Oreochromis niloticus: one gene and its partner. The protein of the gene in region 1 interacts with the protein of each later gene in a pairwise test. Links are inferred from orthologs where the notes say so. Each region holds a gene or a part of one and is shown in the gene's direction. Other genes may lie near its edges. The genes, in order: naif1 and sox14.

The links.
Region 2: the proteins of naif1 (region 1) and sox14 interact in binary tests that used the Homo sapiens proteins (3 or more experiments, as listed by UniProt). The two-hybrid records come from large-scale screens. The link is inferred for Oreochromis niloticus from reciprocal best matches to the Homo sapiens genes NAIF1 and SOX14.

The regions. Positions count from the first base shown.
Region 1 is NC_031972.2:34,729,610-34,740,763, forward strand, and holds naif1 (nuclear apoptosis-inducing factor 1), read left to right. Parts: upstream 1-6,907; 5' UTR 6,908-7,308; coding exon 7,309-7,753; intron 7,754-8,708; coding exon 8,709-8,759; intron 8,760-9,158; coding exon 9,159-9,721; 3' UTR 9,722-9,726; exon of another isoform or gene 9,727-10,341; 3' UTR 10,342-10,656; downstream 10,657-11,154. Other genes in the region: folylpolyglutamate synthase, mitochondrial, read left to right, coding at 2,269-2,346, 2,501-2,562, 2,968-3,070, 3,153-3,456, 3,576-3,659, 3,741-3,891, 4,063-4,138, 4,249-4,309 and 1 more. UniProt on the Homo sapiens protein: Induces apoptosis.
Region 2 is NC_031986.2:32,082,091-32,093,390, reverse strand, and holds sox14 (transcription factor Sox-14), read left to right. Parts: upstream 1-6,107; 5' UTR 6,108-6,691; coding exon 6,692-7,408; 3' UTR 7,409-8,267; downstream 8,268-11,300. UniProt on the Homo sapiens protein: Acts as a negative regulator of transcription.

The DNA.
Region 1 (11,154 bases):
GTGTAGTCGGCCGATTTTTTTGTCAGTTCAGCATTATATATTATGTTTAACCCAAGTGACCACCCGGTCAGCTGGTGGGTAACAGGCATCTCTGAAAACAGCTGACAGCGTAAAGACAGAATAACTCCAGCTTTGTGTCTTTTTCATTCTGCTGAAGTACGGGACGAATCGTGTTCCTTTTCCGCTCAATACGGATGTATTGTAATTGGTCCAGCCCAGAGTTGATCATGACCAATTGGCTAATCCACCACCTTTCATTGTTTATACCGTTACAAAAACAAACATAAAAATGAAAAATCACCATCGGCCCACCGGGCATGGCCAGTACAGCTATGCAGTCAGCTGGTGGGTAACAGGCATCTCCGAAAACATTAGAGCACTTATGCAAATATGTGATGTCTTGCTAAATCGAGCAGATATTTGAAGTTTACACAGCACCATTCTCGCATGAAAATATCTTAAAAGTTTATTTTGTGACCCAGAAAGAGTAATATTTCAAACTCTGCCACTCTGTGTTCCTCCGCCACTGCCTCGTTTGAGTTTTGGATGAAATGGATTCTGAGATATTGCATTTCGTCATTTCGAGCTGATTGGAGACGAAAACAGCCAATCGGATTTTTTTGCATCCAAGTCTGTGATTGGCTGGTTTTGTGGCACAAATATAACGGTGTACAGAAAGAGTTGAGCGCGCACGGGCAGAAATGTTGAGAGCGCAAGCAACACATTGCAAGCAAGCGCAAATGCAAAAACTGAGCGAGAGGGGCTGCTATTGTGTGTGTGTGTGTGTGTGTGTGTGTGTGTGTGTGTGTGTGTGTGTGTGTGTGTGGTTAATAGCAAACACTGAAATACATTTTTTGCACGCAGCAATGAGTTTTGTTCACTCAAATTTAGCTTTTCTTTGCTTGAAATAAATTTCTCCTCAAAATGCAACACTTGAACCTGCAAATGTTTTTTACGTGCGCTCAAATTTTTTTTTATGTGCGCTCAGAATAGTGGCACAAAAATAACGCCATACTAGCCCAACTTCAGTAACCCTACAAACGTCACTGCTGTTTAGTTTTCTGTCTTCATTTATGTTGGAAGTGATAGCAGAGCTGTACGTTTTAATTTTTTCAGAAATCTCTGTCAGAACATGCTATATCATGTTTAGGTGGAAACTAGCGAGTTAACTTCCTGTTAACTTCTAACTCTGTTAAATTTAATAAATTCTGTTTTCATGGATGCCTGGATGTTAAACTTAATTGCTACACCTGGTAAAGCAGCAACGCTGATGATTTTATTAAAGATGAAAGAGTTTAGACAGTTTTTAACTCTCAGTGATGTTGCAGTGTTCGTTTGACTTTGGGACCTGAAGCACACGGAGTTTTGGACCCAGATTACCCCGAGTCCGCGAGGCTCCTGACTACAGTAGCCGTAATGCTCCAGCAATCCATCAAGCGGTGCGGCTTTGTAGCTTACCAAAGTCATACTAAAACATTTTTTTTGACAGATTTTTGAGTGCCGTGTACCACATAAAATCGGTTCGAGGTCAGTTAGCACAACCAGAATTCATACATAAGATGCACCAGATTATACACTGCCAATTTTTGAGAAAATTGAAGGATTTTAAGTGCGCCTTATAGTGCGGAAAATACAGTAATTACCCACCACAAATTTTTACCACAGCTTTCGATCTCTCTAACATAATACAGACATGCTTTAGATATGAAAATCAGACCAGCCCCTTCTTCACTTCTGTTACTTCTGGAAGGTTTCAAAGTATTTTTAAACTCTGGAATTTAAAATAAGTGACTTTAAATGATGTTAAGATTTTAACTGAGAGTGAGCAAGATAGACCGGATTAGAAAATGAGTGCATCAGAGGGACAGTGCAGGATATATTGGACAAAGGATGATAATATGGAGCTGCCAGGCAGGAGGAGAAGAGGAAGACCACAAAGAAGATTCATGGATGAAGTGAAGGAGGGCATGTGGAGGGTTGGTGTAACAGAGGAGGATGCTGGGATAGGGTGAGATGGAGGCAGATGATCCACTGTGGTGAACCCTGAACAATTCAGTTGAAAACAGAAGGAGAAGAAGCCATCAAGGCTTTTAATAAATTTGAGATCGTATTTGAAAGGTAACATCTTAAAATTAATTAAAATAAAACTCTCAGACGGGCCACTGATAACCTGATGTGATCATTTGGAAAAAAATAAGATGAATATATCATCTTTGGTGTATAAACAAACAGACTGATGATTCTTTACTTTTTCCTTTGACCCATCAGGATGCTAACGGAGGGACGATGCCGACATATTTTGGTATCCTCACCATCTTGGCCTTCCATATCTTCCTTCAGGAGAAGGTACACTGTCAAAAGCAGCCAGAAAATGTTTATATGGAATTTATTCCTGACACATGTTATGTACTCATTTATCTGACTTACATGCAGGCAGTGGTGCAGGTCTTATTTACTATAAACACTCCTTGGATCTAAATGGCTCTTTGTCTTTGCTCAGGTGGATTTAGCTGTGATTGAAGTTGGTATTGGAGGAGCGTACGACAACACCAACATAATACGGTGAGATTTAAACTTAGCACAGCATAAGTCTTTAGCATAACATGCGAAATATCACAAACAATGGAAAAGCTTCCAAATCAAAACACAAACTAACGCCTTTTGGTGAAATGGTACCAAGTGGACACATTTAAAAAGCCTTTGTCATAAGAATCACTGGAGTCTGTCTGTCTTTATACAGTTTTTGCACCACTTTATGCAACATTACATCTTTTTTTTATTTTATTTTTTTTTACAGTATTTACATTTCTTATTTATATTAGATTTTTGTTGTTGTTGCTGTTTTTTCCAAACATAATTTGCTCAGTGTGACTCTTTGGGTACACAGACCATTTATTTGTGTTGTACAGAGAAATTTGATCAGTGTACAGTCTCGGTTGTCACTATCATGCCTGTGTGTTTCGACAGGAGGCCGTGGGTGTGTGGCATCTCGTTCCTGGACATAGACCACACTGATATTCTGGGAGACACCATCGAAAAGATCGCCTGGCACAAAGCGGGCATATTCAAGGTGTGTTCACAGTAGTGAGTGAGTCACTGATTCAGTCTGAATGCGTGCTTTTTTTAGTAATGCTGCATATTTGTGTTTGCAGCCTGGAGTCCCCGCCTTCACCATCAGACAGCCAGAGGGCGCCATGCCCGTGCTCGAGCAACGGGCCAAAGAGATCGGGGTAAGTCCACTTTCAGTCAGATCACACAGGAAAGTGAAGCTTCAACTTTCTATAACTCTCTCTAACCTGTTGTTGCAGTGTCCACTGTGGATGTGTCCACAGCTGGAGGACTACCAGGCGGAATGTAAACCTTTGCACCTGGGCCTTGCAGGACAGCACCAGCGCTCCAACGCCTCCCTCGCCCTCCAGCTGAGTCACACCTGGCTTCAGATGAGGGGTCTACCAGGTTGGGCTTATGTTTAAATATATGTCCAAAAATAAATTAATAAATATTACAAAATAATGCAAATAACAACTGCAAGCTTTGGTCAGTGTACCTTCAATGTACCGGCCCTCTCTGAACAGATAACAGCTTACCCTACATCACTGTTAACAACGGCAGGATGCTTCAGGCGACTGCCTTCACTCCCAGCCCCATGATGGTGAAAGGTGAGTTCCGCAGAGCCAATCAGACAACAACAGGACCCAGCCGAGGCCAGCTGAGGTAACAGTGAATGTGTTTACTCTCAGGGTTGGCAGATACCGAGTGGCCCGGCAGGAGCCAGACCCTAAAACGTGGAGCGGTCACCTACTTCCTGGATGGAGCTCACACCCTACACAGCATCCAGGCCTGTGCTCAGTGGTTTAGAGAGACTGCAGCTGAGCACGAGAGGAACGCCAGGTGAGCTAAAAAAAAAAAAAAGATAAGAAGAATTTTTAATTAAACGTTTAGCCCGGTCCCCGTTGTTAACAAAATGGACCAGAGAGTGTGTTCCAGTTGTTGGTGGATCTACAGGAATATTTTTACATCAAATGCTATGTGATGTGACACTTTGATGTGTTTGTGTTTTAGTGGCCCTGTGGCCAGAGTTTTACTGTTCAACGTTACAGGAGAGAGAGACGCAGCTGCTTTCCTTAAACTCCTGGTTGTGAGTAGTTTTTTGAACCTGAATGCATTTGTGGGTATGTTGGCATGGACGTGATTGTACTTATAGAGTTGTAAAACAATTTTTTTTTGCTATTTCTTGTTTCTTTCCAGCCGTGCCACTTTGACTTTGCTGTGTTCTGCCCATGCATCGCTGAAGTCGGCACTTCCAATAGTGAGTTCGCTGAATCTTTTTGCACCTGTACAGATCGTTCTATATAAAATCAGTTTGGACACTGGATCTGAGTGTCCAGAGGTGTGCAGGTGTAATCTAATTCTATCTGATGCACATTTTTAGTTTTTTCTTGTCTGGAGTTTGTGTTGGAGTCTGTTTCCAGATGGAGATTATCCAAGAAGAGCTGGTTTTATCCAGTGAATGATTCTGAACCAAAAACTTTGAAGTTATTCTTTCACCTTATTCTTCCTCCTCAGTTCAGGAGAAGAAGTTTGACATGTCTGTGGAGGAGATGCTGAGTCGCTGCTTGGACAATGAGAGGATCTGGCGCCTCCATAACCACCAGGATGACAACAGAGATAATCTGCTGCTGATAGAGGACAGCCTTCCTCGTTTACCTGAGAACAGAGGGGACACCTTGGTATTCCCGTGCATCTTCAGCGCCCTCCAGTGGATCACACATGGCAGGAACTCAGTGCTGTCTGACCAGGCCAAGACGACGCTCCCGGTTAAACCGAGCGTCACGGCCAAAGCTGCTTCTCTCCGCGAAGCTAGCGATATCCAGGTACTCATCACTGGAAGCCTTTACCTGGTGGGAGGAGCTCTCAAATACCTCGACCCAGCTTCCTCCAAGTGAACAGAAGTGTTTTGTATTTGCACAACTGCGAGAGATTTGCTTCCAGGGAAGAGGGTTGTTTGTGGTTTTAGTTTTTCCTGACTTATTTTCCTGAATTTGATTATTTTGTCTGTGACCAAGGTATGAAGGTGATTTTACTTTTTGGATGCTAATCATAAACAACGTTTGAGTATATTTTTGTAACAGTGGCCAAAACTCAAGTTTGTAAGTTTGACTGGATTGCAAATAAATGATCTTTTAATGATCTTTTTAAAATGTAAAGTTTTTGATCACAGACTGGATAACGTTGCCTTCAAAGCTTTTCTCTTATTTGCATCACTAAATTCATCGGCTTCCTCGTTGGTTCCAAGTCACAAAGTTTTGCAAGCTGGAGTCCATGGGTCATTTTGACCTTGAGTCTCAGTATTTGATCAGAGTAAACATGAAACTGGACTATATGCTGTGATACACGGACGTAAGATGACATTCTGCTGACCTGCAAACGTTTTCACTAACCCATCCAAATGATTGAATTCAGGTGTTCCAATTATTTCCGTGACCACAGGTGTATCAAGTCAAGCACCAAGGCATGCAGACTGCATGTTCTCTGCAGTGATGAGTCAAGCTTGTCTTTTTGGAAATCTGATGTATGAACCTAAAATACTGAGCTGGTTTAAAAAAAATGCTTACAAACCTAAACTGAAAAAAGCAATGGGAAAATGAAAAGGTGCCAAACAAGTGCAAAAAAAGAAAAAAAAATGGTTTAACACGCAAGGTTCCACATATGATGTGGGGTAATACTGAGGTACAAATAGTACATTAAAAGTAGTGATGGGGAAAAACAAAAAGGTTGAAGCTTCTAAACCAAAGGAACCATGACAAAACAGCACAATATAAAACAAGGTAAAAGTTTGAAAAAAAGAAATAAAGTACTGAAGTCCAAACTTTTCATGTAGTGCAGAAACAAATAGTTTTTTACCCTGAGACGTAAAAGCAGCTTCAGAGCTGCTTGATTTGTGTCGGTTTCATGATAATTTTTAAGTTCTTGTTTTGCCTCTTGTCCTCCTTTTTTCTTTATGCACTTCGTCTTCTACCTTCTTCTACCTTTTTTTGTATTTGCACTTTGTTTTCTTGCTTTATTTTGTCTTTCATGCCCCATTGACAGATAGTTTTTCCTTTTGCTTTCAAGCACCTTTCTTTGTTACGGTATTGGTGACAGTCCCCATGAGGGTCCCTGCACATCATGTGGGAGGCCAAGGTTCAATTCTCTGATAAGGCACTGTTACAATATTAACAAATATGAATTGACTCTTGAGGAAAAAAAAATCTCCAAAACACTCACATGGTATTTGTTGCCATGTAAACTACAAGTTTAAACACAAAAAGAGAAACATGGGGCACAAGACTCTGTTAGCTTTTTTACTCCTTTGTTCTTAGGGCAAACTGTTTCTGTTGTGTATTTGTCATTGTGTTTATCACACGTGGAAAACATTCTTTGTTCAAACGCAGATGGAAACAAAGTTGGTGGGTAGCTCTAGAACCAGCTCAGTTTTCAGTGGTTTCTTTCAGTCTGAAGAACAGATTTTGTTCCCCTGATCAGGAAGCAGAGTCCCATTGAACAGACTGAGTGAGCTTAACATATCAGAGCTATTTAACAAAGAAGAGATTAAAAAATGCGAGTTTCACCTACAACAATCTGAAGGAAAGAAGAATCCTCCAGACGGGAGAAAAACCATTATCGAAAAACTCTGACCAACCTCAAGCAAGACAGCTTCTCTGCATTTCACTGTCAAATCATTAAATCAAGACACTGAAAATTATATATTATATATTAATATAATTGTAATTCTGAGGCTTTTATTTCATGGTGTCTTGGAAAGCTGTAAATAATGAGAGGTTACAATAATTATAATATTGATTATTAGTAGTAGTATTCAGTTTAAAGACGTGTTTAGAATTGTTACCTTTTAGCAGCAGTATTAAAACCGTGCTGTTGATGAAGCAGTCATATCCCAGCTCACGTTTCCCCTTAAGTTTTCTTTTTTACGTTTTAAACGTTGTTTTCGCTCAAGTGTAACTCGGAAAAAAGCGAGACAACGGTAACATTTCTTCTTTTTTTACTTCGTCTTTTTGTTTGGCTCGTTGAGTTGATTGGCTTTTGTTTGGTCCAATAGTAAGAGAGAATACCACATGACCGCGAGATCCTCAACCAATGGAAGTCTCAGTGGGCGGGGTTCCGTCCTTCGTCTAACGTAAGCGTCGTTAGTAGGAAGAAGAAGCCGATTCTGGAAGCCATTACGTTGCGCACATTAACGGAGTAAATCCTACTATTTTTGCGTACAATACGCACAATTACCTGCCGTAAAGACGCTTTTCTGCACTTATGGCATCGGTGGCCAAAAAGAGAAAAATGAATTTCTCGGAGAGGGAGGTGGAAATTATAGTGGAAGAAATAGAGAAACAAAAGCACACACTGGTTAACCACTTCAATGCCGGAGTCACACACATGGCCAAGAATAACGCGTGGATGGACATCCTGAAAAAGGTGAACCAGGTCACCACCTGTCCGCGCGAGCTGCCCGAGGTGAAGAAGAAGTGGTCCGACATGAAGACGGAGGTCCGGCGGAAGGTGGCCCAAGCGCGGGCTGCCATCGAGGGAACGTCCGCGGACTGCACTCCAGTTCCCGTCATCCTCACCGCCATGCAGCAGCGGATCTGTAACCTGCTGGGAGAGGCCACCATCATCAGCCTACCTGCGGGAGACTCGGATGCTGAGATCTCCTTACCTGTAACCGTCAACGCCGCCGCCACCGTCACTCTGACGGAGGGTGAGTGCCGCACGGTGATGTACGGAAAGTGATGCGTGCCGAAAATAACTGTGCGTGTAACACTAAAAAAAACCCAAAGTGTGAAATTGTTATAAGTATTTTCTGAAACCACTGAAAATTCAGACCAAAATAGTGAATGTAAATGTTATTAAATGTAAACGTAAGCATTATAGTTTAGTTACATGTATGTTTCTACCTGAAAAGTAAATGTAAAGGTAAAAATTGGTCTAAATTAAATATTTTCAAGTATGGGTTAATATTGCATTCAAATTCAAAATACTACATGAAGTGCAAAATAACTAAAACTACGCATTAACGACACAGGCTCAATGTTTAATGTAAGTATTTTTAAATGTATTATTACATGTAAACAAAAAAGTAATAGCTTATTAAATTTACATTTAAAAGTTAATAGGTTAATTAAATCTTTTAAATAAATCTGTGAGATACATACTAAAAAGTAGGAATTACATTCAAACTGCATACAAACATAAATGTACTAAATTCTAAATGTTAAATCTCAATATTAAATGTAAATTTAAATTATTATCTATTATTATTAGATACTTTAAAACATAATATATAGTGTATAATGTATGATTATGAAAACATTAAAATATAAATGCAAAATGTTAAATCTAAATAATAAAGACAGACTGGATACTACCATAGTTAGCTATTGAAAGCCAAGTGGGCTGAAATCAACAGCAACATTTGACACCAAAAATGTAATAAATGTTAAATCCTAGTGATTACTTATTAATATTTTAATTAAATACTAATTTGGACTGTAAATATGAAATCTGATCATATGAACATAATAATACATAACAAAAATGTAACCCTAAATGTAACACTTAAATTTAGAGTTACATTTTTAAAATAAAAACTACATTGTAAAGATTTGCTGATAGTTTCATTGAGTCTTTAGCTTCTTCCTCTGGTTGTCTTTCAGCTCTTCCAGCCGGTGCCGGGACAGTCTGTGACAACTCAAAGCAGCTGCACGGTACGTTTCATTTCTTTGTAAATGTTCATACTTTACCCGTGACACTTGCAGAGCCATCAGGGTTTCTAATCACAACTCTACTGGACTGTGTGGTGTTGAACTGCTGCGCTTTAAAAGGTGCATTTTAATCACCACTAGGGATCAAATTTTAACTTTTACTATTAAATGCAAATTTTTTCTTTTTGTCTGGTTAAATGAATAAAGGTTACACTGATTCACTGCGCCGTCTTGTGATGGTGATTGGTATTACATGACAGTACAGCCAAGCCCTAATTCCGCTTCAGCTGATATTTCTTCAGCACAGTAGAAAGATGTTTCAGACATGCATTCAGAGCAATTGTTTCTTCATGTTCTTTGTAAGGCTTTTAATAAACATCTGAAACTGTTTCTTGTTTCCAGCTGAGACGACATACCACACTCTGGAGGATGGCGGCGTGGTGGAGTACTGCACCACCACTGAGGGCGATTCCGCCCCGACTGTGGTGGCCGCGGTCGAGGGTCCTGTGGAGATGCTGGCCTCGTCTTCTGCTTCCCCACCACCGCCTCAGAGTCAGGCCAAACCACAGGAGCTGAAGAGCCGCATTGCTCTGAACTCCGCCCGCCTGCTGCAGGAGCAGCGAGTCACCAACGTGCACATCCGCCAGATTGCCCAGCACCTGGAGGGCCAGAATGAGCTGCTGCAGATGATGCGACGCTCCCAGGAGGCGCAGGCGTTTGCCCAGGAGAGGCAAGCTCAGGCACTGGAGGGCACGCAGGCCGCACTGCTCGCGTTGGTGCAGATGCTCCGACCGGCTCTCAAAGACCTGAGGAAGTTTCTGCAGAGCGGGTCTGAGGCGGCGAACGCCAGTAGCTCTGTGGCGACGCCGGCGACTGGAGCAACCATTGATGGAGCGGCAATGGAGGAGCAGAGCAGGCCCAAAACACCTCCACTTCCTACACAACAGACTGAGGAGGCGCAGTAGACTCTGTGCGTGCTTGTGTGTGTGTGTGTGTGTGTGTGTGTGTGTGCGTACGTGCGTGAACCATGATTACAATTATGCCTTATGAAGAACATGTACAGAAGCAATGGAGAACTATTATTTTTATTTTTTGCCACGACTTCATGTTATTTAATACCCTGAATCTGGTTTTCTGATCTTTTTATGCAACTATTTCGTCAGCCTGATGGAAAATTAACGGGTTGGTTTTTTTAGACCGTGGCGAGCCAGGTTTGTCCGTGAGCTGCACTTTAACCAGCATGTGTTCAGACCTGAATAAAGTGAAAAAGAGGCCAAACTCTTTATGTCCTGTCACATCTCTCCTGTCCCAGGGGCAGATGTTCATGTTAAACATGGTAAAAGAAGTCAGTGTGTGAACCAATGATCCCCATGAGTCAAAAGTTGTAAACACTTATTTTCACACAGTTTTTTCTACTGTTAGATCTGTATCATGTCATAGAGAGCAGGCTTTCTATAAAATACTTGAAACACGTCCAAAGTTCCACTCATCTCTTGGTATCGTCTTCTTGTGCAGCTCTAAATTGTTTTCGGAGCTTCCATCCGCTGCAGTGCTCTTATGTTCCTCCTGTACTGTTACTCTACAGTGTGTGATGGATCTTGTCCAGTGCGTCCAAATGTTTGAGGGAGGTGATCGTGATGGCGTGCACCACAGTTCATTTCCTCTGATTGTTCACTATCAGATGCCTCAGAGGACTTCACAGCAGACCTCAGCAATGATGGTCTCACACTGGGGGATGATTTCATGGTGCAAAACTCGTTGAATGTTCAATAAAATGACAAGCTCTTGAAGGCGTGCCTTCAGGCTGGAAAACTGGATTCTGGGTGGATGTTTCGATATATACTAAATAAAGCTAACTATGAAACATAAATCATGAAGCCTACTCTAAAAAAGCCAACAGTTTGAAAGATGGAAATGGAAATAAACAGAGCAGGATGTTTTTTTCTGCTGGCTGTAGTGCTTACAACCAGCCAGCAGAGGTCAGTGTAAGTCAGAGTTTCATTACAGGTGTGTGAGCAGTGACGTTTGAGGTCCTGAGAGGGTGAAAGGAAGGAAATCCGTCTTTTAGTATCAGTATCAGATTAACTTTCACAAATGAGGACACTGTAGTACTGCAGGGTGTACTGGAGTTTAATTTGATGTTTTCATTTAAAAACCCTTAACAAATCAGTTATTCCTGAAATAATTAAAGTATTATTACTTTATAGTTCATCATTTCTACTTAGGGTTGTTTGCTGAACCTCTTTTTCCTTTTCCAGTCATGTGACCTGTCCCTAACAAAGAGAGGTATCTAAAAAAGCCCAGTAAAGCACATTTTACTATGAGTATTCCTGAGTTTAGAGCAAACATCGGCAATAGCTCCTCGACCCTGTTGGCTGCTGACACCATAAGATGAGAT
Region 2 (11,300 bases), on another chromosome or scaffold:
GTATCGTAGGATGAAGTTTTTTTTCTTTCTGAAGTTCTGCACCTGTTACCAAAAGATTGGGAAGGACAGATGAGGACTTTGGCGGTGGATATTTTGTAATGGTATTTTATACATGGTCCTAAAGCTGAATATCAGTTTCTTAAGATCCACAATTAAGGTATCTATACTTGGACTTTTGCTTTGTTTTGATTTTTAAAACTCTTTATCCTGGTGATGGAGAAAAGATTATTTGTTGTATTAAAACTTTATTCCAGGTATCTCTTATCAATATAAAGTTGTGGCATTTGGTCATGTTTTTTTGTAGAAATCTAAATTGTAAATAAAAAATCAGGGCTTACTGGGTCAAAAGGAAGAATTCTAGACATGGTACAGTTGTGACGGGTCTGTTTTTCACATGCAGTTTGATATCCGTAGTTTCCTCATGATGAATCCAGTACAAGTCTGTTGTGACATCTGCATCCACCATCTGAAAGAAAGGATCAGCAGACATGATCCCATAAACTCACTCCCAAGTCCTTAGAAGTCGTTTGGTAACCCAGGGAACACAAAAGAAATTCCCTTGGTGATTTGTCTGATATGTGCAGAAGTGAGGATAGATGGTAGAAGATCTAACCTCACAGTCAAAAACATGTCGTAGGAGAACTGTATGTACTGGAGATTATCAAGAATTTAGAAGTTGTGATTGTAAAAGCCTGCTTCTATCACAATTTCTATATACATGTATTTTATTGTTGCTCATTGCCCATTGCAGGAAGGTCAGGTCAATGGTTTACAGGACTCATTTCCGTAAGCAATTCTCTTGTATATTTCTATTCACCTCACATGTTAGTCAGCGGTATTCTTTGCCTCCACTGATTGTTTCTTTTAATCACTCACCTGAAGGTTAGTGTAACTCAGACATTTCTATAAGTTGCAAATTTCATTGACATTCCATAGTCTGGTCACTGTGTTGCTGTTAGTCATTTTCTGTGTGCACTTTAAGTTGAACTCCATCATTGGCAAGAAGACGATCACAGTACCAGGCAAAGTAAGCAGATTTCAAGGAAATGATGATCATGAATATCAGTGGAGATGCTTGGCCATCGGGCAGAGACTGATGATGTCTGGACACTATAGTTGCTGAACAGAACGGAAAGGTGAGGGTGAGGTGAGGGGGCATGTTGAAAGACTAAAGCTCTGACTCTAGGCCCTTGTAGAGTTGTTTAACAAGTGAGAACTCGGATCAGTTCTTTAATTCTTGAATACTGTTGAGTTGGTCAACTGGCTACCATTAACTGATTTATTTGGGTCTTTGTCTGAAGGCTAGGTTCTTATCATCAGTCCACATATAAGCACAGGGTAATTTTCACTCTAGAGTCAGTACTCCTGTCCTTATAACTTTAGTACCTTCAAGCAGGTCGGTAGTGTACAATTTCTATTTTATTTCTATCCTCTATTGTTTTGAAATGACAAGAAAAACATCTGGACCTGGATAGAAATTCTAAAAAACAATATGAGCGTTGTGCGTCAGAGGTTCCGTGATACTACTGAAGACATGCTGAATAACTATGGCATCTTGCAACATGGCAGATTCCCAAACAAAGCTCTTTTGGTTAGTTCTACCCACTGACTCTGGATATGTTTTTTAGTACCCTCAGGAATCATGTGACCATTTCAGGGTTAACCTGGTAGGTTTGGCATATCCAGTAAACATACTTATCAGTTAACCTGATCTGAGTGACGAAGATGTCTAAGGTTGAGCGTCTTTTGGTTTTACCTGAACTCCGCATAGACTTGTATTCTGGATGTGGTCAAGCTCTTAGAAAACCCTGGAACACCACGTTAACAGTCAGCAGTGTCAACGTGTCAGCTTATTGAAAAACTTGAGAATAAATATTTTAAATTATTAAATAAATTGTTTAGCGTCAAAATGATAAGGTTTGCATAACACCAGTTAACCCTGCTCTGAAATGGATGTATTTGTTGTTTAAATTGTATATACATATGCATCACTACTTATTGAATTTTTTTTCTGAATATGCATCTTATGTTATTGTTTGGTAGCAGTTCAGATTCTCATTTATGCTGGTTAAATCTTATCTACTGAGTCACAGTCTCATGTGAAAGGCTGAAATCCCCCTGCAAGGAAGGCCAGCTCTAAATGAGTTTTTTTTCTCTTAATGAAGGTCAGGAGAGAGTCACATCTTTCCTTTTGTGATAATTTATCCCTATCTCCTGTTATCTCTGTTTTGCCCCTTTAATCCTAATTGTATTGTATAATTGTGTGATGTGGACCTCTTGGTCTTTGAAGTATTGGCCCTATCCTTTCATTATTACCTGATGCCTTGAACCTCTGTTAATTTTTTTTCCAGCTCCGTTCTGTATTATCCAGTGTTGGAGAATAAAAGAGAGAGCAGCTTAAGTTCAGTCATTTCGAATTTTATTTAAGTCTGATTTCTCTATCTTCCTGAGAAATAATTTCACCACAAAGATATATATTGAGCTTAGTAATACATGTTGGCAATACATCTCAAATGCGGCTCATTGCTGTTTTGATTGCTTCTCAGTGTTAGTGAATGGGACTTGTAATGGGATAATGTAAAAAGATCTGCATTATTGTATGCAGAATTTGAGTTTTAGAATTGCTTCTATATGAGTGAAAGAAAGCCCTTTTTGTGTGTTTAACATTGCATGAATAATTATCAACAGCCAAAGTCTGAATATACATTTTTTGTGCCATTGCTGGGGACAAACAGCTTGACCATGAACACTCAGTTTTCAGTATATGAGGCTATAAATGAAGCTGATAGAACATTTTCTCTATACATGGTTAAAAAGACATTCTGCTTTAACTATGAAATACTTTTACATTCAGACTGAACATTTCGTAGAGATGTGTGCATATAAGGTTCTGCAAAATTAAAGCGAAAGAACAACTTTCAAAGAGAGCTCACTATTATCTGTGCAAACTACTGAATAAATATTGAAGCAAAACTGTAAATGGCACTGTCTATTTGCTGGTACTGTGTACTGTATGGTTCTACTTTAATATTAGCAGATCGTCACCACCATCTTGAGAGCAATGATTCAATATAATAACATAATAGATGATGCTGTAATACATGCTGTATCCAACATGCACTGGCCGAGTTAGACTTAATCCTGCACTGATGCTAAAGTACAGGACACGCAGACATATTCTGACAACATAAAAATGTTTGTGTGCCTAAGATAATTTATGTTGCCACAATTTATTAGTTCCAAATATGGTTCAGCAGTAGTTCTTCCACACTGTGGAAAAAAATAGGCTTAAAAACATTCTGCTGGGAAGAAGGAAAAAAGTTAGGAAAGTTGTAGACCCATGTGAGTTGTCTCGGTTTCTAATATTTTATTTTTACAGAGAACCATCACTAAATAGGATGGAAATACAATAAAAGGCATTGAAATGTCAACCCTAGCTTTTAAGAGTTTTTGAGGGGAGGACGCAAGTGTGCAGTAAAGAAAACCTCTTACCGCTTCAGCACCATGGACAGTTACGGTAGGGGAGCTTACCTCAATGCTCTCCACGGGAACCCAAGTTGGCTAATAGGCTCTCCGTGTGTCAGGCCGCTCCCCATTCACTTTTTAAGGCGAGATGGATGGACATGTGTCCTGAGATCAGTTTGTGTGTGTGCGCACGCATGTGTGCTGTGTTTGTCTCACGCGCTCCTCTATGTTTGTGTGTGATTTGAATTTATTAGACTAAAAGTTTTAATTTTATTCTATTTCCATAAAAGCCTACATTAAACTTGCCCAATAGGCTGATTTTCAGGGTATAGTACTGATAGTGTGTTTAATTTTGGGAGTCATTTCTAAACCAAATATAGCCCGTTAAAGGCATTTTCCCCCACTTTTTAAAATTCCGTTTATATGTTGTTATCAGATCTTTTGGCATTTCCAAATAACTTAGGTTTGGACATCTTTTTACATTCAGGTGTAAAACCCAAACCCCAAAATTTCTTTATTGCATTTTTTATTATTATCTCAGAGCAAAAATGTACCGCGGCTGCATGTAATAAAACTAAAGATGGGAATAATAATCATCATCTGAGTCCTTGACGAATCAAACCCTATTGCATTTCTCATTATCCCGGTAAATTGTCGAGGGAACTTTCAGGCGTGCATTTATTAGACAATCAGTTTTTGAATAAGAAACATAGCCGACTTCTCCCTCGTGAGTATAGGAGGCTCAGCCCCTAAAATAATTTCCTCTTATCTAATTCATTGATCATAAAATGAAGCCGGTGTGGGCATGCAGCAGCAGCAGCAGCCTACATGTTAAATTGCATGCGCTGTTCTGCGATAGATAGCATAGCACAATTTAAAACTTCAATGCAAGCCGAAATATACAGTGCAAACATGCGGCATACTACCTCGCGGTTGCAGATGAGCATCATATAGCCTGTCGATTGCGAGGATTGTGTAGGAGCTGTTTCTCCCTCTTTCCTCCCTCTTTCCCCCCTTTTTTCCTGCCATCCTGCCATCGCGGATGTACTGGGAGGGGGGAAGGAAAAAAAAGTCGGAGACGTCTTCAACTGATTGTTCTCTGGGTCGGGGTGAGGAGGATCTCTCTCCCAAAACGATCATATTTTAGACGATATTTTCAAGTTTTTTTTGTTTTTTTTGTTTTTTTGTAAAGACAGATGTGATGGAAATCTTCTTGTTCCAAGCTGCCGATTGACGCATGCGTGTGCGAGGAGACAGGGAGCGGAGAGAGAGCGTGAGAAAGAGACAGAGATGGGGATGAAATGTGGGAATATCAGACAGAAAAACGAACAACGCTTTGCTTTATTTTGGTTCTCGAAATAAAATGAGGTTTGGGTCACGACAGTAAATTTATAGCCCGCGGACGTGTGCAAAAATCGGCGTTTTTTTTTAGACGGGTCATTCTGTATTAGAAACACGCTTGTGAGTGTGATGTGATGACATGTTAAAGAACCGAAAACCATCTTTAGAGTATCTGTTTACATTAAGCCACACAAAGAAGAGAGGAAGATGAGATGATAATACGCAGCCCGCAAAATACACATATGTACAGAGAGAGAGAGAGAGAGAGAGATGGAGGCCAAAGACAACCTTAAATAAATCTGCTTAGCAGTGTAACTAACTGGGGTTGTACCTCCACTTACAGCATTTGACGGTGTGTGTAGAGGGGGTAGAAAAAAATCATCTGTCTGCCTTTCGTTTAATAATCACAGCTGAAAGTATCATATATCAAGCACATTAGCCCGAGGGCTATTAGGCAGTGGTCCTGGTTGAAATTTGCATTTTAAAACGATCACTCTGCGCCTCTTTAAAAAAAAAAAAAATCTGTCAAATCGATGTGAACTAATGCAACAATTACAGACGCACAATGATGGCTCCTCTTAACGTTTGTAGTTATTGTTATATGTAATATTTCCTCGGTGATGGTAATTCTGCCGATGCCTAGTTTTAGTTTTACACATTGGCACGCGTGGGCCCAAATCGTGTGCGCGCCCGTGTGTATTATCATATGTGCGTGCTCGTGGGAGTTAGGTGGTTTAAGGGAATGCTAACAAAAAAAATGGACTTGTAAGAGGTTTTTGTGACCCCGTCCACACCCCCCAGCTACCCCACCAGCAGCGGGATAACAGAGGTTAAAACCGGCTGAAGTGTCCTCGAGCAAGAGAGGAAGACCTATCGGTTGCAAATGAACTGTCGTGCTTTTATTATTATAATTACTATTTTTAATGTTATTTATTTTATTTTATGATGTGAAAATGCGAATAAAACCGGGCTCCGCTGTATCAAAGGCCCACATATATGCGTGCATTTTGGGGGGGACTTTACGTCCAAAGTGCTCCCCGGCGTCTGTGCGTAAAGCTGTACAGTAAATTGGTTGCACGGTATAGTCACCTCTCTGGATTGAAGTCAGGTTTTAACTGGAAAAGAGGTTGAAGGTCCATGTTTGTTGCGATTCATTACATTAAATGGAATAGGGGAGGGATCCTGGGTATTACCCCCCTCCACACACACCACACACACATACACCCCTTTCCTTATTTTTTTTCTTCTTCTTCTTCTACTACTACCTCCCGCTCTTTGTTTATGTTGTAATGTACATATTTTTTCGTGAAGGTATTATAATAGCCGCTCTCCGTGCTGATTGGGCGCTCAGGTTGGTGAGTGAACGCCCTGCAGATTATGTCAGATTGCGTGCAGAAACCAAACCAGCCCAGCCTTTGAACTTCACCGCTTTTGGCTCGTATTCACGCTCTTCCGCTCATTTCCAAGCCAGGTGCTTGACGACAAACCTCAGAGAGAGAGAGCGCGCGCGTGTGTGGCAGAAAAAAAAAATAACACCTAATACTTTTACGACTCCAGCAAACTGACTGCGGAACATCGCTTTCACCTTTGTGGATTTTTTTTTACGTGTGTGCGTCTCGCATGTGTTTTTTCCCGTATTGCCTGGCGCAGGTCTGACAGAGTTGTTACTGGACTTAAACGAAGGCGCACCAGTGTTCAAACTCGGGGAAAACGCACCGGGCGCTGGATTTTTCTTTTCTTTTCTTTTGATTTTGTTTTCCAGAATCTGAAGATCCCAGGCGGGGCATGACTGGTATCGGGCATCTAGACAGGTGAATAGTTTGCCTTCTTTCAGATCAGAACTTTTCCTCGTTATTAACATTGGGGATAAAAGTATAGTCTTAAGATGTCAAAGCCTGCTGATCATATCAAGAGACCCATGAACGCGTTCATGGTTTGGTCCCGGGGCCAGAGGAGGAAAATGGCACAGGATAATCCCAAAATGCACAACTCGGAGATCAGCAAAAGACTGGGCGCTGAGTGGAAGCTGCTGTCAGAGTCTGAGAAGAGACCTTACATCGATGAGGCCAAGAGGCTGCGGGCTCAGCACATGAAGGAGCACCCTGACTACAAGTACAGACCCAGGCGCAAACCCAAAAACCTGCTCAAGAAGGACCGTTACGTTTTCCCGCTGCCTTACCTCGGGGACACCGATCACTTGAAGGGACTTCCCGTGTCGGCCGCGGACTCTCTTTTGGGCTCTTCAGAGAAAGCCAGAGCGTTTCTGCCGCCGACGTCCGCCCCGTACTCCTTCCTCGACCCAAGTCAGTTCAGCTCCAGCGCCATCCAGAAGATGACCGAGATGCCCCACACGTTGAGCACCAGCACTTTGCCGTACGCATCCTCACTGGGATACCAAAACGGCGCGTTCGGCACCCTTGGGTGCCCCAGTCAGCACACCCACACCCACCCGTCGCCCACAAACCCAGGCTATGTCGTCCCGTGTAACTGCACAGCCTGGTCAGCATCAAGTTTACAGCCCCCGGTGGCCTACATACTTTTTCCAGGTATGACCAAGACTGGGATAGACCCATATTCATCCGCACATGCCACTGCCATGTAACCCTCAAGACTCATTTGCTCTTTTTAATTCACTTGAATACTGAAATGCATGTAAATATATTATGGACAGCGCGCCCTATTAAAAAGGCATGAACAGTGTTAACTGCCTTGGACTTGTTATGGCACAAAAAAGAGGAAAAAACAAACAAACTTTTGCAGAAATCCACCAAGTTCCTGCCTGAGCAAAGGAGCTGGAGTTTGGTGTAAAGGACGGAGCCCTGTGAACTGTAAGAAATGTAAATGTTATAACGTTTATGGCAACCAGAAAAGGAGGCCTTTAACTTTATTTATTGTGTACATTTCAATGCTGATATGCTGATTTGTGTTGATTATTGCTAGGCTTCACTTTTATTTTGAAAAATTGGCTTGCACAATTAGCGTTCATATTTCCTGTATCAGCCTAAGGAGTCCACATTTTGGCAATTTTATGACGATGTTCTGGACATAGGGTCAAAATCAGGACATGTAGGCTGGATTATATACGGGTTATATTGTTTATATTTATCACAAAAAAGAGGAAAGAAAAAAGAAAACTGGCACATAAAACTATACGGTCTATTTAAGAAGACACAAATGAGGAAAAAAAAAATTCATTTACATCCAGATGTTTCATTTTGCATTTTTACCTGTGGTTCAGTGCTAATATAGTCACACGCGTCATTTTAGTTTGTTTTTTGTTTTTTAAGGATAACTTCTATTTGAATTCAAGGAGTTCTATGTGTATTTTCTATCTAAGATGGTAATTTAAAACCTGTCATGTTATGGAAAGGATAATGTATCTAGAAGGTTGATACCTCCTGCTCTTTGTTCAAGTGCCGAGCAAAGACATTTTCAATAAAGACAATCTGTCTTCAACCAGATCAATTTCCTGTATTTGTAGGTTATTGAGACCACAGAGATAGCGTTATAATGTGCACGTGTTGCGGGGGCGTTTAAACCGCCAAAATAAAAGCTCGATTAAATAGATGTAAAAGGTGTAATGATCACAAACTAATAGTTATTATAAAATTCAAATTAAAATAAATATACAAAATTAAAGTTATAAATTATGAAAATACTTTAATCTTTTTAAAGATAAAAAATACACCCGAGCTAATCAATACTGTTGATAGGCTGCACATTAGAACAATAACAACAAATCAATCCTCTCTTCCCTCATCGATCCCCTCTCCCTTGTGCGGTAGTTAAAGCTGTCAGTTCCACGCCCTTTGATCATTCCACAAAGCTTTATTCCTTAACTGCTTCTTTTTCTTTCTTTCTTTCTTTCTTTCTTTTTTTAAAAATTTTTTTATTATGATGATTGCTCTGCTTCGTGTTGCAGAAGCAGGGTTCAGGCATGTTCGGCGGTGCAGCATGATGAAGGTGTGTTTGTGACACCGGGATGAACCGGTTTTTGATGTTTGACAGTTCAGGAGAGGCCTCCCTGGAGGGATTCCGCCCGTCCGACTCGTCTGACTGCTTAATCACTTCAAGAAGCTACTTAATTATAGGTTTAACTAATGGAGAATACTGATTTTTTCTCTCTCTCTCTCTCTCTTTTTTCACCCAATCTGCGACTTTTTGGTTGGTTGTACAGCAGCCTACCACTCGGCTGTGATGCGGTTTAAAAAAATCTCTGCGTGTGCGATTTCTGCTCCAGCCAAAAACTTCGTTAAAACCTCTATCAGCGCCGAGTCATCCGCACGTGTTTAAACCTGCAGCGACCTGTGAATGAAAAAGGCCCCGGCTCTCATTAAGACAACAGAGAGTGAGCACAGCTTTACAACTCGCCCCAAAAAAACCAAGCAGGAATGAAAGGAAACTTGGACCCAGCGCGGGGTGCGAGGGGGTCTGTTTCTTCTTCTATTCTTCTTAATGGAGACTGATGGATTTGCGTACCGCGCGCGCGCACGTGTGTGAGTGTGTGTAGCTTGCCCATATTAACACTGTAGTATTAATTAAAAAAAATCATTCCACATCCAAATTGTTTACTTATCTGCCAGGAACATATGTGGGGAGAAGTTACCATTCTGCACTATTGCCCAAGGTGCAATTCCATCCTGGGGAGGAAGAGGAGGGAGGGCAGGGGAAAGGAGGAGAGGGGGGCAGATTTTTATGACAGACTTGCTTCTTATCTGGAGCTGTAAATTAGGGTGATACTTCATTGAACCGAATGTGAAGTTTTACATCAAAACCCTAAAGCGTTCTAATTCAACTTTGAAATGAGACAATTATAATTACTTTCAGGAGTAGCTGCGGACTTGGATAAAGGCCCGTCTGTATGCATATGTGTGTATATATATATATATAATTCATTTTAAAAATATATTTAAGACCGTATTGTTTGCAGTCTCTTTTATTTTTAAGTTTTACATCACAGGATTCACTCACTACCTGTAATTATCCAACTTAGTCACGGAAATTGAGTGCGGTTACAACGCCCTGAAATAAATAACGATAAACGGCATGTGAGAGGTATAATGGGAGGGAAATTATGATTTGGAATTATAGGGGGAAAGGGTGTGTGTGTGTGTGTGCGGGTGTGTGTGTGTGTGTGTTTAAATCTCTCTTCCCCCCTTGACGTTTTTATTGGAGCACAACAGAGAGAATTCAATCTGCCTTATCTCTCCAGGACTCCTTTTCAGCGCGAGATCAGAGGAAAAAGGAGAGGATAATTGTTCTTTATTTTATTTAATTTAACGCGACAGCCAGCGCTTTCAGGTCATTTATATGCTTCATTTGGTGATAAAAGTCAATGAGGAGGGGAAACACCGAGTAAAGCAGGCGCTTTGACTTCTTTTCATTATTATTTTATTTCTCTCAGCAACATAAAGTATATAAAAAAAAGAAGTAAAACAGACGAAACAATAATTGGATGAGGAGGGGAGGAGGTGGACATTTTTAATTAAAAGTCATGGGTCATTTACATTATTGTGTTTTAATGTCACCCTGAAATCATCAGCAGGAAATGGAGTTTGATAAGTGGCTTTGAGAATGTGGTTTTGTATTTAGGCGTGCTAATTTTCTAAAACAGGGGTCGAAGATTATGATGATGAAGATGATGATGGTAGTGTCATTGTTGTTGCTTCTCTGATGATGATGATGACGATGATGATGATAGGAGAAGGGGAAAATATGCCAAGACACAGATCGGCTTATCACAGCTGAATTCATTTTTATTTCAACGCGAGATTTCACTTATTATAAAAAATGCATTTTTGTGAGTGAGCGTGTGTGTCTGTATGTGTGTGTAAAAGCTGATCTCATTTCAGCATATTAAATATTGTCTAAAAAAATAAAAAAGGAAGAAGTCATCACTGGCTAAATCCTGGTCTATCTAAAATTGAATCTGGGATACCATTTTGACGGGAGAAAAAGTAAGACCGTACAGTTTTGTTGTTTGAAGACGCGGGGGCTTGAATTTGGGGGTCCCTGAATTCTCATTTGAAAGAAATGAAATGGTGAACGAGCTGATAAAGAAAAAAATGGGAGGGGGGCGGCTGAGCTGAGAGAAAAGGAATCATGGCACGGTTGTTTAATGCGCTGCACCAGTCGGAAAAGTGATTTACACCAAGACTTTATTCCCCCCGACTGATGGAGAGACAGCGCGGGCTTTCTTCTTCTTCTTCTTTTGCATTATTGTTTACATATACACATGTAGGCGCGCACACGTGCACGTGGGCCTGTGCGGTCAGTTTTCTGGAGATGATCGGATACAGATTGCTGGGATACGGACGCTATGCTTCACCCACAGAAGCGAACTGCATCCATCAGGTTCAGTCTGTGCAGCGGACAGTTTGCACGAAAGTTTATTCTGCGCTCAGTTAACCCTTCATTTCCGGACAGCTTTCATTTTTATTTGGTACGTCCTGTAATTTCTGCAACATCCGGAACCCTAAAAAGCCACAACTTCA